3 linked regions of the Mus musculus genome follow. The protein of the gene in region 1 interacts with the protein of each later gene in a pairwise test. Links are inferred from orthologs where the notes say so. Each region holds a gene or a part of one and is shown in the gene's direction. Other genes may lie near its edges.

What was found.
Region 2: the proteins of Trip6 (region 1) and Gse1 interact in binary tests that used the Homo sapiens proteins (3 or more experiments, as listed by UniProt). The link is inferred for Mus musculus from reciprocal best matches to the Homo sapiens genes TRIP6 and GSE1.
Region 3: the proteins of Trip6 (region 1) and Frs3 interact in binary tests that used the Homo sapiens proteins (3 or more experiments, as listed by UniProt). The two-hybrid records come from large-scale screens. The link is inferred for Mus musculus from reciprocal best matches to the Homo sapiens genes TRIP6 and FRS3.

The regions. Positions count from the first base shown.
Region 1 is NC_000071.6:137,309,343-137,311,537, reverse strand, and holds the end of Trip6 (thyroid receptor-interacting protein 6), read left to right. Parts: intron 1-706; coding exon 707-885; exon of another isoform or gene 886-937; intron 938-1,132; coding exon 1,133-1,253; intron 1,254-1,363; coding exon 1,364-1,495; 3' UTR 1,496-1,639; downstream 1,640-2,195. UniProt on the Homo sapiens protein: Relays signals from the cell surface to the nucleus to weaken adherens junction and promote actin cytoskeleton reorganization and cell invasiveness. Involved in lysophosphatidic acid-induced cell adhesion and migration.
Region 2 is NC_000074.6:120,564,886-120,568,537, forward strand, and holds part of Gse1 (genetic suppressor element 1), read left to right. Parts: intron 1-1,482; coding exon 1,483-1,655; intron 1,656-2,041; coding exon 2,042-2,239; intron 2,240-2,877; coding exon 2,878-3,069; intron 3,070-3,275; coding exon 3,276-3,598; intron 3,599-3,652.
Region 3 is NC_000083.6:47,701,430-47,704,871, forward strand, and holds the end of Frs3 (fibroblast growth factor receptor substrate 3), read left to right. Parts: intron 1-184; exon of another isoform or gene 185-193; coding exon 194-355; exon of another isoform or gene 356-567; intron 568-1,140; coding exon 1,141-1,295; intron 1,296-1,524; coding exon 1,525-2,433; 3' UTR 2,434-2,857; downstream 2,858-3,442. UniProt on the Homo sapiens protein: Adapter protein that links FGF and NGF receptors to downstream signaling pathways. Involved in the activation of MAP kinases. Down-regulates ERK2 signaling by interfering with the phosphorylation and nuclear translocation of ERK2.

The DNA.
Region 1 (2,195 bases):
AAGGAAGACCTTGAATTTCCTCCTTCTATCCATGAGATACGGGGATTCTGGGTGTGGGCCACCAGACCTGTTCTTTGTGGTGCTAGGAATGGAACCCAGGGCTTCGTGCATGCTGGACAAACACTTTACCAACTGAGCTATGGCCCCAGGCTAAGGAATGAGTTAACTGTGGAGACTAGATGAAGGAGGGAAAGACAGCTCCTCCTTTCAAGCGGGTGGGTGCCTGCCTGCCTGCCTGCCTGCCTGCCTGCCTGCCTGCCTGCCTTCCTTCCTTCCTTCCTTCCTTCCTTCCTTCCTTCCTTCCTTCCTTCCTTCCTTCCTTCCTTCCTTCCAGACGGAGTCTTACTGTGTAGCCCAGGCTGATCCTAAAGTTATGGTTCTCCTGCTTCAGCCTCCCAAGAGCTAGGAAACCGGATATGTGCCACTGTGCCAGCTGGAAGGCATTTTAGAGTTGAGGTTATTTGTGAAAATCTGACAGCATTCCTCAGAGGCATTACTGATTCATCTCACTGAAAGATGAAGTGTGTGGAGACCAAATCCCTTGTCTAGAGGCTTCAGTGCTGCTCTTAGACCTCAGAAATGCTAAGTCCACCTTCCACTGAATCCCATGCAGGGAACTACACACACCAGATGGCTGGGCAGAGAGTACTCCTTCCTGGCTGGAGTGGCTTCCCTCCACTGACCTTCCTTCCTCTTTTTTCGTTAGGCCACCCTGGAGAAATGTTCCACATGCTCTGAACCCATCCTGGACCGAATCCTGAGGGCTATGGGGAAGGCGTACCACCCTGGTTGCTTCACCTGTGTGGTATGCCACCGTGGTCTTGATGGCATCCCGTTCACAGTGGACGCCACCAGCCAGATCCACTGCATTGAAGATTTCCACAGGTCTTGCCTGGATTCAGCATGTCTTCACTGACCTATTTCTTCATGTCCCAGGGTCTGCCTCTTCTGTTTCCACCTTCTGGTGCTCTCTTTCTTTGACACCACTTTCTTCCCCAAGACCCAGACACATCTCTTATATCCTTCTCATCCCCACCCCTGCCCCTTCCACCTTCATTGGGCTTCATTTTGAGTCTCCTGATGGTGTGGGAGGGAGGGACCTGATAGCCTCTTTGGTTCCCCTCCACTGCAGGAAATTTGCCCCACGATGCTCAGTGTGTGGTGGGGCCATCATGCCGGAACCAGGTCAGGAGGAGACGGTGAGAATTGTTGCTCTGGATCGAAGTTTCCACATCGGCTGTTACAAGTGTGAGGTGAGGGGGGGTCCCTGGGCAGGAGCGAGAGCTTTGCAGAGCCCGGGAAGCTGGGGGAAAAGCACTGTGGGAAAGTCCCAGGCTAATGAAGGTTTTGTTCTTTCTCACAGGAGTGTGGGCTGCTGCTGTCCTCTGAGGGAGAGTGTCAAGGCTGCTACCCGCTGGATGGGCACATCTTGTGCAAGGCTTGCAGCGCCTGGCGTATCCAAGAGCTCTCAGCCACTGTCACCACTGATTGTTGACTGCTCTGAGAAGTACCTGCTGGGATCTCAGCCCCCGTCCGTCCGTCCGTCACTTCCCCCAACATCTACCCTTAGTGTTTGCCATCAAATGCTGTCTTTTCTTCCTCTCTTCATGAAATAATAATCCCTGGAGCATTTAAAAGCACTTCCAAGTCTGTTCTTTATTGGAGTCTCACAGGATGAGGCTGGTGAAAGCTTGAACTCCAGCACTCAGGAGGCGGAGGCAGAGTGTGAGTTTGAGCCCAGCCTAGTTTACATACTAAGTTCCAGGACAGTGAGGGGCTACATAATGAGATCCTGCATATCTTTTATTAACTCTCATCCTGTACTATTGTTGTTGTTACATAAATTAACCTGTTTACTGTAGGCTAGGGATGTCTCAGATGATTGGATTTCTGCTGGTCTTTCAAGTCCTTCAGACTTCTGATGCCAGATACAACAGCAGAAGTGGTGTCGCAGATCTGGGCTGCACCAGCCACCACAGTGCCAGATGCCAGTGGCCTGTTTTCTTCATCTTGGTCTTGCTCCAGAAGGAACAAATATACCTGGTGTGCTCATCGATTTCAATTTTCCATGCCATTCTCCAGAGGGAGGCATCATCTCGGATCCTATGTTTACTTACGATGCTGACCTGCTCGGTGCATTTAGCCACAGTGCCGTGACATAGGCCAAATGTCAAACAGAGGTAGTTCTCTAAAGG
Region 2 (3,652 bases), on another chromosome or scaffold:
TTCTCTTTTTTCATCTTTGGGGCTATTTTTTGTTTTTTGTTTTTTGGTTTTTGGTTTTTTTTTTTTTTGGAGACAGGATTTCTCTGTGTAGCCTGGCTGTCCTAGAACTCACTCTGTAGTGCTGGGATTAAAGGCATGTGCCACCACTGCCCAGCCTGATGGCCATTTTTCTAGTCTCCTTGTTTGTCCTGGTGTGAGTGGGATATGTGCCCCCACCCCACCCGCACCCTGCCATACACACCTATACGGTACTGTGTGAATGTTTCTCCTGAGGAGGGCAGGTCAGAGGTCATGAACCCATGAGGACCCCACAAGGGAACAGAGACAGCCTGCTGCTGCACCCAGGGAAGGAAACAGATGTTGCTGCTCATTAAAAATTCAATCAGCAGCCTGTCTCCCTCAATTAATCGTGGCTGGCTGTCTGTGGGGAGCAGGAGGGCTTGTGGTAGACTCTGTGAGAATGGAGGCGGGGAGGTACGGTGCTAAGCTGTCCTCACTCTGCACACACAGGGTTAAGTGGTGGTACAGCCACGACCCCTCCCCTCGGGGCTTACATATGCTCTGGTGATGCTAGCTGCTGACCCTGGGGATAACCACAAGGAGCCGGTAGAATGGCTGGCAGGCCTGTATCCAGAGACAATCAGTGTTACTATGCTGGCTACCATGAGCCTTTCAGTCACACCATGGGTTCAGCCATATCATCCAGAGGACCTCGTGTCCCTAGTGAGTGCCACTGTCTGCCTTGTGTTGGGCTTCTCCTGCAGTAGTGAGGGAAGGGCCTCAAAGTTGTACCAGGAGGCTCCTGGCCCTCAGTCTCCCCTCTGCTCCGTGGCTCCCTGACTTTGCCTCTCTGCCTTGCCCTGAGGATTCCTCCCTAGTCACAGGTGACAGGCATGCAGGGCTGTTGGGTCTGGTTTCTCCAGGCTGTGTGGTGCTGCTGTGACTGTTTATACAGAAAATCAGTCCGTGAGGCGGGGTCTCCCCAGCCCAGCCCAGCCCAGCCCAACTCAACTGCCGCCTCTCACTTCCTGCCTGAAGGGAGCCTCTCCTGGGGTCTCAAAGCCTAAATATGTGCAAGGGTCCCCCACGTAGGTCCATATCAGCTGCCAGCAGTGTCCACATAGCTACGGGCACTGCTGGAATCTAGGGAGCAGCTCTGTCCTGAGGTGCAGGTCCCCAGGGTGTGTGTGTGTCCTGACTCTATGACCACCCTGTTTTGCCTATAGGAGGTGGGAGTTCCTACCCTGCAGATGCCCTCACATGCCTCATCTTGGGATTCAGCAGTCTGGTGTCTAAGGCTTCCCTGACATTGTTGAGTTCCTTCTAGAGCTGAGCCAGACCCTGTAGACCTTGGTCCAGACCTGCTCATAGGAGGCTTTCTCCCTAAATACCCCTTTTATGCTTTCTTTGATTAAAAAAAAAAATTAGGGGGAGGATGTTTCTAGAATATGGCTCCCCAAAACCTAACTCTTCTTCCCGCAGGACTCTGGCTCACGAGGCAGCAGCAGTGGTCGGGAGCGCCTATTGGTGGAGCCACCTCTCGCCCAGGAAAAGGCTGCGGGCCCCGCCATCCCCTCCCACCTACTCAGCACCCCGTACCCCTTTGGCCTTTCCCCCGGCTCAGTTGTACAGGACTCCCGCTTCCAACCACTCAAGTAAGTGCCAGCCTGGGGTCAGGGAAGGCACAGGGGTGGCTCCAGACAGACCTGAGAGTTTGCACTGGCAGAGGTAGATAGAATGCCATTAGTCTCAGTGGCCTGATCTGCCCTGAGGTCCTTGGCCCCATCTGACCTTGTGGTCCAGCCTTTGTTGAGACAGACTTATCAGGTGTCCTAAACACATTTAAGCCCATCCTCTGGGTCTGGGGAACAGAGAGCCCCTCCAGCATCTCTATCCACTCGTGGGGACCTTGAGGGACAGGCAGCTTCCCATCTGTGCAGTCTGGGCTTCATGCCAGGCTGTACCTCACTGAGAGGCAGGACCTGAGCCTGGTGAGGGAGTGTGGCACATTACCTCTGCTCCCCACTTCCCCCTCCCACAGCCTCCAGCGGCCTGTGCACCATGTGGTGCCCCCCAGCACGGTGACTGAGGACTACTTGAGAAGCTTCCGGCCCTACCACACTGCTGAAGACTTACGCATGTCCTCCTTGCCTCCGCTTGGCCTGGACCCAGCCACCGCCGCAGCCTACTATCACCCCAGCTACCTGGCCCCACACCCATTCCCCCACCCGGCCTTCAGGTGAGGCGTCCCCACTCACGCTGCCCTGTGTGCTAATCTGTTCTCAGCAAGGCAGAACCTCTCGGGGCGGGCGTTTGCCAGGGCTTGGGGTCCAGGCACTCAAGGGAGCTATATAGCTTTCCCCAGCTCGACTGAGTTGAGTCTTGATGGATGGACTCAGTACCACCTGCTGATGCTCCTTGGTTCCCACTTCTCAGCATCTGCACCCCAGCAGCCAGTCCCCACTAACAGTGTGTGGTACCTAGACAGTGTGATGGAGACTCCGGAGTGAGAGTCAGGCCATGCCCTCCCTCTTCCTGTAGAAGCTCCTGGCCTCTTACCACAGCGGGTCACACCAGAGGTCTCTGCCTGCAGCCAGTCTGCCCTCCCGCTCGCTCACCCATGGTCCGGGAGGTCCTAGGCGCCCATGTGGTCTGTTCCTTGTGGCCCCAGACAGTGGACATGCTCTTTGCATGCAGTCTCTGCAGGGCTGAGCCTGAGTGAGCAGTGGCTCGCCCAGCCGAGAGGCGCCGGCTCACCTGCCTGGGTCCCGGCCTTTCTCCTGCAGTGCCAGGGATTCACCTGAGGGCTTCGCATCTGCTAGGCAAGCTTATCCTTTGTGGCTCCTGCACACACCAGTCCTGCCTCTCTGTCTACAGGATGGATGACTCCTATTGCCTGTCAGCCTTAAGGTCTCCGTTCTACCCCATCCCCACCCCTGGCTCCCTGCCTCCACTGCATCCGTCGGCGATGCACCTGCATCTCTCCGGCGTACGGTATCCTCCTGAGCTCTCCCACTCGTCCCTGGCGGCGCTACACTCGGAGCGGATGTCCAGCCTCAGTGCAGAGAGGTAAGCTGTGTTTTCAGCAGAGGTGGGGTGGAGGGGACTGTTGAGCGTTCCTGAGGTCCTCAGCGGGGCCTGGCTTGGTGGTGGCGGGATGCGGTTCTTTGTGTGTAGGTGGCAACTCTTGCATGTGGCTGCTCCACTTTGAGCTGGGGCGTGGACTTGCCCCCCCTGCACATCCCTTTAGCACGCTGCCCTGTTTTCCCTCCCAGGTTGCAAATGGACGAGGAACTGCGGCGGGAGAGAGAGCGAGAGCGGGAACGGGAACGGGAGGCCGACCGGGAGCGGGAGAAGGAGCGGGAGCGGGAGCAGCGGGAGAAGGAGCGGGAGAAGGAGCTGGAGCGCGAGCGGGAGAAGGAACGGGAGCGCGAGCTGGAGCGGCAGCGGGAGCAGCGGGCGAGGGAGAAGGAGCTGCTGGCTGCCAAGGCCTTAGAGCCCACCACCTTCCTGCCTGTGGCCGAGCTGCACGGACTCCGAGGTCACAGCACGGAGGAGCGGCCCAAGCCCTCGGAGCAGCTGACCCCAACCCGAGCAGGTACCTGGGCTGAGCTGTGTGGAGGGAATGGCCTGTGCCTGCCCCAGCAGTAAG
Region 3 (3,442 bases), on another chromosome or scaffold:
ACCCAATTGTCTTCAGAGATAGTAGAGATGGCTATACCTGGATGAAGGGTTGGGGGTGGGGGCAGCTGGGAGGCAGAGTGATGGGTACAGGAAGATGGGGCACCTACCCATGGTTTTCTCCCCACCCCAGAAGGCACCTATCCTTAGGAAAACCGGGTCTTGGAGGCCCTCACTGCTTCCTCACCTTCCCCAGGCATCTTTGCATTCAAGTGTTCGAGGGCAGAGGACATCTTCAACCTGCTGCAGGACCTCATGCAGTGTAACAGCATCAACGTGACGGAGGAGCCGGTCATCATCACGCGGAGCAGCCACCCACCAGAGCTGGACCTGCCTCGAGGGCCCCCACAGCCCGCTGGTGAGAGACCCCACCCCAGTCACCCTGTCATATACACACACGAGCTAAGGAGCAGGTACGGGAGAGCTGGGGTGAGCCAGCCTTCCTGGACAGTCTTCTGTCGTCAGAACCATTCCTGAGGATGGATCAGTCCTGGGCAGGGCCAGTTGGGTGACTCAAGCTGGAGCTGCAGAGGCCTGCGCCTTGGGTCAACTGATGGTTGGGAAGCAGACAGGAAGACGTTGGGTTGCCATAGAAACAGCAGTCTGGAGCTTTTTGCTTCCTTCCGTGTACTGGCCTGGATCACATACAAAATACACTTCTCCTGGCTGGCTGGCGCGCCATCGCTGCTCACATTGGTGTGGAGGTTCCCATGATCTGTTCTTGATGGCTGCTAAGTCAGACCACACAGCCCTGCTCATTGTATTCCCTGTGAGAGACAGAAAGGCTAAAATGGCCCCTGTGTCGGTGAGGTTTCCTGGTGCTCCCTGGCAAAGCCTGCCTGGTCATAGGACAGTTCAGGGGTGACAGGTGTGCCATCAGTGTTTAATAAGGTCTATGAGAAAGTAGGAGGTTGAGCCAGCCTCAGGGTGGCTTCAGAGGGCAGGGCAGGATTTGATTGCAGAGGTGTAGGGGGGTGGGGGGCTGCCCAGTCAGTGCAGTGAGTGATAATAGGGCCGTGAGAGCCTCTTGCTTGCCTTTGGAAGGATTGCAGGGCACCTCAAATATGTGTGCACGTGACTGCAAATGACTGTCAGCTCTCCCATACCCCTCTCCTTGACTGCTTTCCCTGAACCCACCTCCAGGCTACACGGTCTCTGGCTTCTCCAATGGCTTCCCTGGCTGCCCTGGAGAGGGCCCACGGTTCTCCTCCGCACCTCGCCGACCCTCCACAAGCAGTCTGCGACACCCCTCGCCTGGGGAAGAGTCTACCCACACCCTCATTGCCTCCGAGGAGCAGGTGTGCAGGTGGTGGGCGGCACTCTAGGTGGGCGGGACCTAGGGAAGGTTGGGAGAACAGAAGAGACTTGATAGGGCCCCCCTCTACCGGAGCAGGAGGGGCCGCTTATGGGGGGGGGTTGGAGGCGGCAGGAGAAACTCTGGCTCTTTTCCTGTCTTCTCTGGCCCTGTCCCTCCTCCCAGTCCTTGAAACCACTTGATTCACTTAACATCTCTCTCCCTGCCTGCAGTCTCACACCTATGTCAACACACCAACTGGGGATGAGGATGGCAGAAGTCGCCACTGCCTGCAGCCACTGCCTGAGGGCAGGGTACCCCTCCCAGCACAGACACAGGGTTCCGACCAGCGAGACCCACAGGTGTTGCTCCAGCCAGGGCAGGTCAAGTTCGTGCTGGGCCCCACCCCTGCTCGGCGGCAGGTGATGAAGTGCCAGAGCCTCTGCCCGGGCATGCAGGACCCTCCCCATCACAACAACAACGAGGGCCCTTCTGAGTGCCCAGCCCAGCCCAAATGCACCTACGAGAACGTCAGCGGGGGCCTGCAGCAAGGGGCTGGCTGGAGACTGAGCCCTGAGGAGCGAGGGTGGAGTGGCCTGGCCCACCGTCGGGCGGCCCTGCTGCACTATGAGAACCTGCCCCCACTTCCCCCAGTGTGGGAGAGCCAAGGTCAACAGCCGGGAGGGGAGGCTGGGGATGATGGGGACTCCAGGGACGGGCTTACCCCGTCCTCAAATGGCTTCCCTGATGGCGAGGAGGATGAAACCCCGCTACAGAAACCCACCAGCACGCGGGCCTCCGCCCGTAGCCACAGCGGCTTCCCTGTCCCACTGACCCGCCGACGAGGCTCCCCGCGGGTCTTCAACTTTGATTTCCGCCGGCAGGGCCCTGAGCCCCCAAGGCAGCTCAACTACATCCAGGTGGAGCTCAAGGGCTGGGGTACAGCCCGTCCCAAGGGGCCCCAGAACCCCTCAGTGTCTGGAGCTCCTGGGCCCACCCCACACCCTGTTCGCAGCTCAGACTCGTATGCCGTGATTGACCTCAAGAAAACGGCGGCCATGTCCGACCTGCAGAGGGCTCTGCCCCGAGATGATGGCGCGGTCAGGAAGACTCGGCACAACAGCACCGACCTGCCTCTGTAGACCTGGGCCTCCGCCTGCCTCTGCCTACAGCAGGGGACTCCACCTCACCCACCAGCCCAGGACTCTCAGCTGCTCTGCAGAAGACACTTCCCTGCATCGCCGGAGTCCCCAAAGATGTCAGCCACTGAGTGTCCAGTTCCCCAAGCTGGGGAGAGGAGAGGGGGAGCCGGAGAGGAGGGAACCATGGTGGAAACTGTGAAGGGTTCTCAAGGTTGCATTTCGCACCCTTCCCTAATGTCCGTTTGTCTGTCTGTCTGCTGTCCATGTGTTTGTGCTTTCAGGTTTTTTTTCCTTTCCCTTTTTTTGTTGGAGTTTTGAGACATTTTTGTACCTGTTGATTTTATTTATCAGTTTATTTTTCTATTTATTGTTTTAAATGTAACTTAACATATTTATTATTAATATAATTATTTTTAAATTCTGGCTCAGTGAGTGCTCTCGTCTGTGCAGTGTTTCCTGGCAGGGTCTGGGTAGGTAGGTGACCCCACAGAGAGGGGAGGATTCATGGCAAATTCAGGGGGGTGTAAAGTCTGCGGTTATTTCTTTTTCTTTTCTAAGAAGCCCTGGCCTATCGCTTCTCGGCCTTTTGGCTAAGATCAAGTGTAGAAGCCCTGGCCTAAAATGTAAAGGTTTCCAGGGATGGACAAGCTCTGCTTCTGCTAAGCTGGGGGCTCGCTGCTGAGAGCTCAAAGGCAGAGGGAACCTGGGAAGAAATGTGACCTAAGAGATGATGTTCACTTTACAGGCTACAACGGACCGGAAATGGGGGAGAGACATTTCACAAGACTCTGTAGCCCCTCCAGGCAAGCCCCAGGGGCCACTGCTGGCCAGAATATATGTTGAGCGGAAGGTAGACCACAGCCTCTCCTCACACAGCTCAACCTTGCCTAGGTCAGACCCTTCACAGGGGATTTTGCTAAAATCACATGCCTGACTAGCCTTCCAGTTCATCCTTTGGGGCTTCCCTAGAGAACAGCCCAGGATGGAGCCCCCAGCCCCCAGCTACATT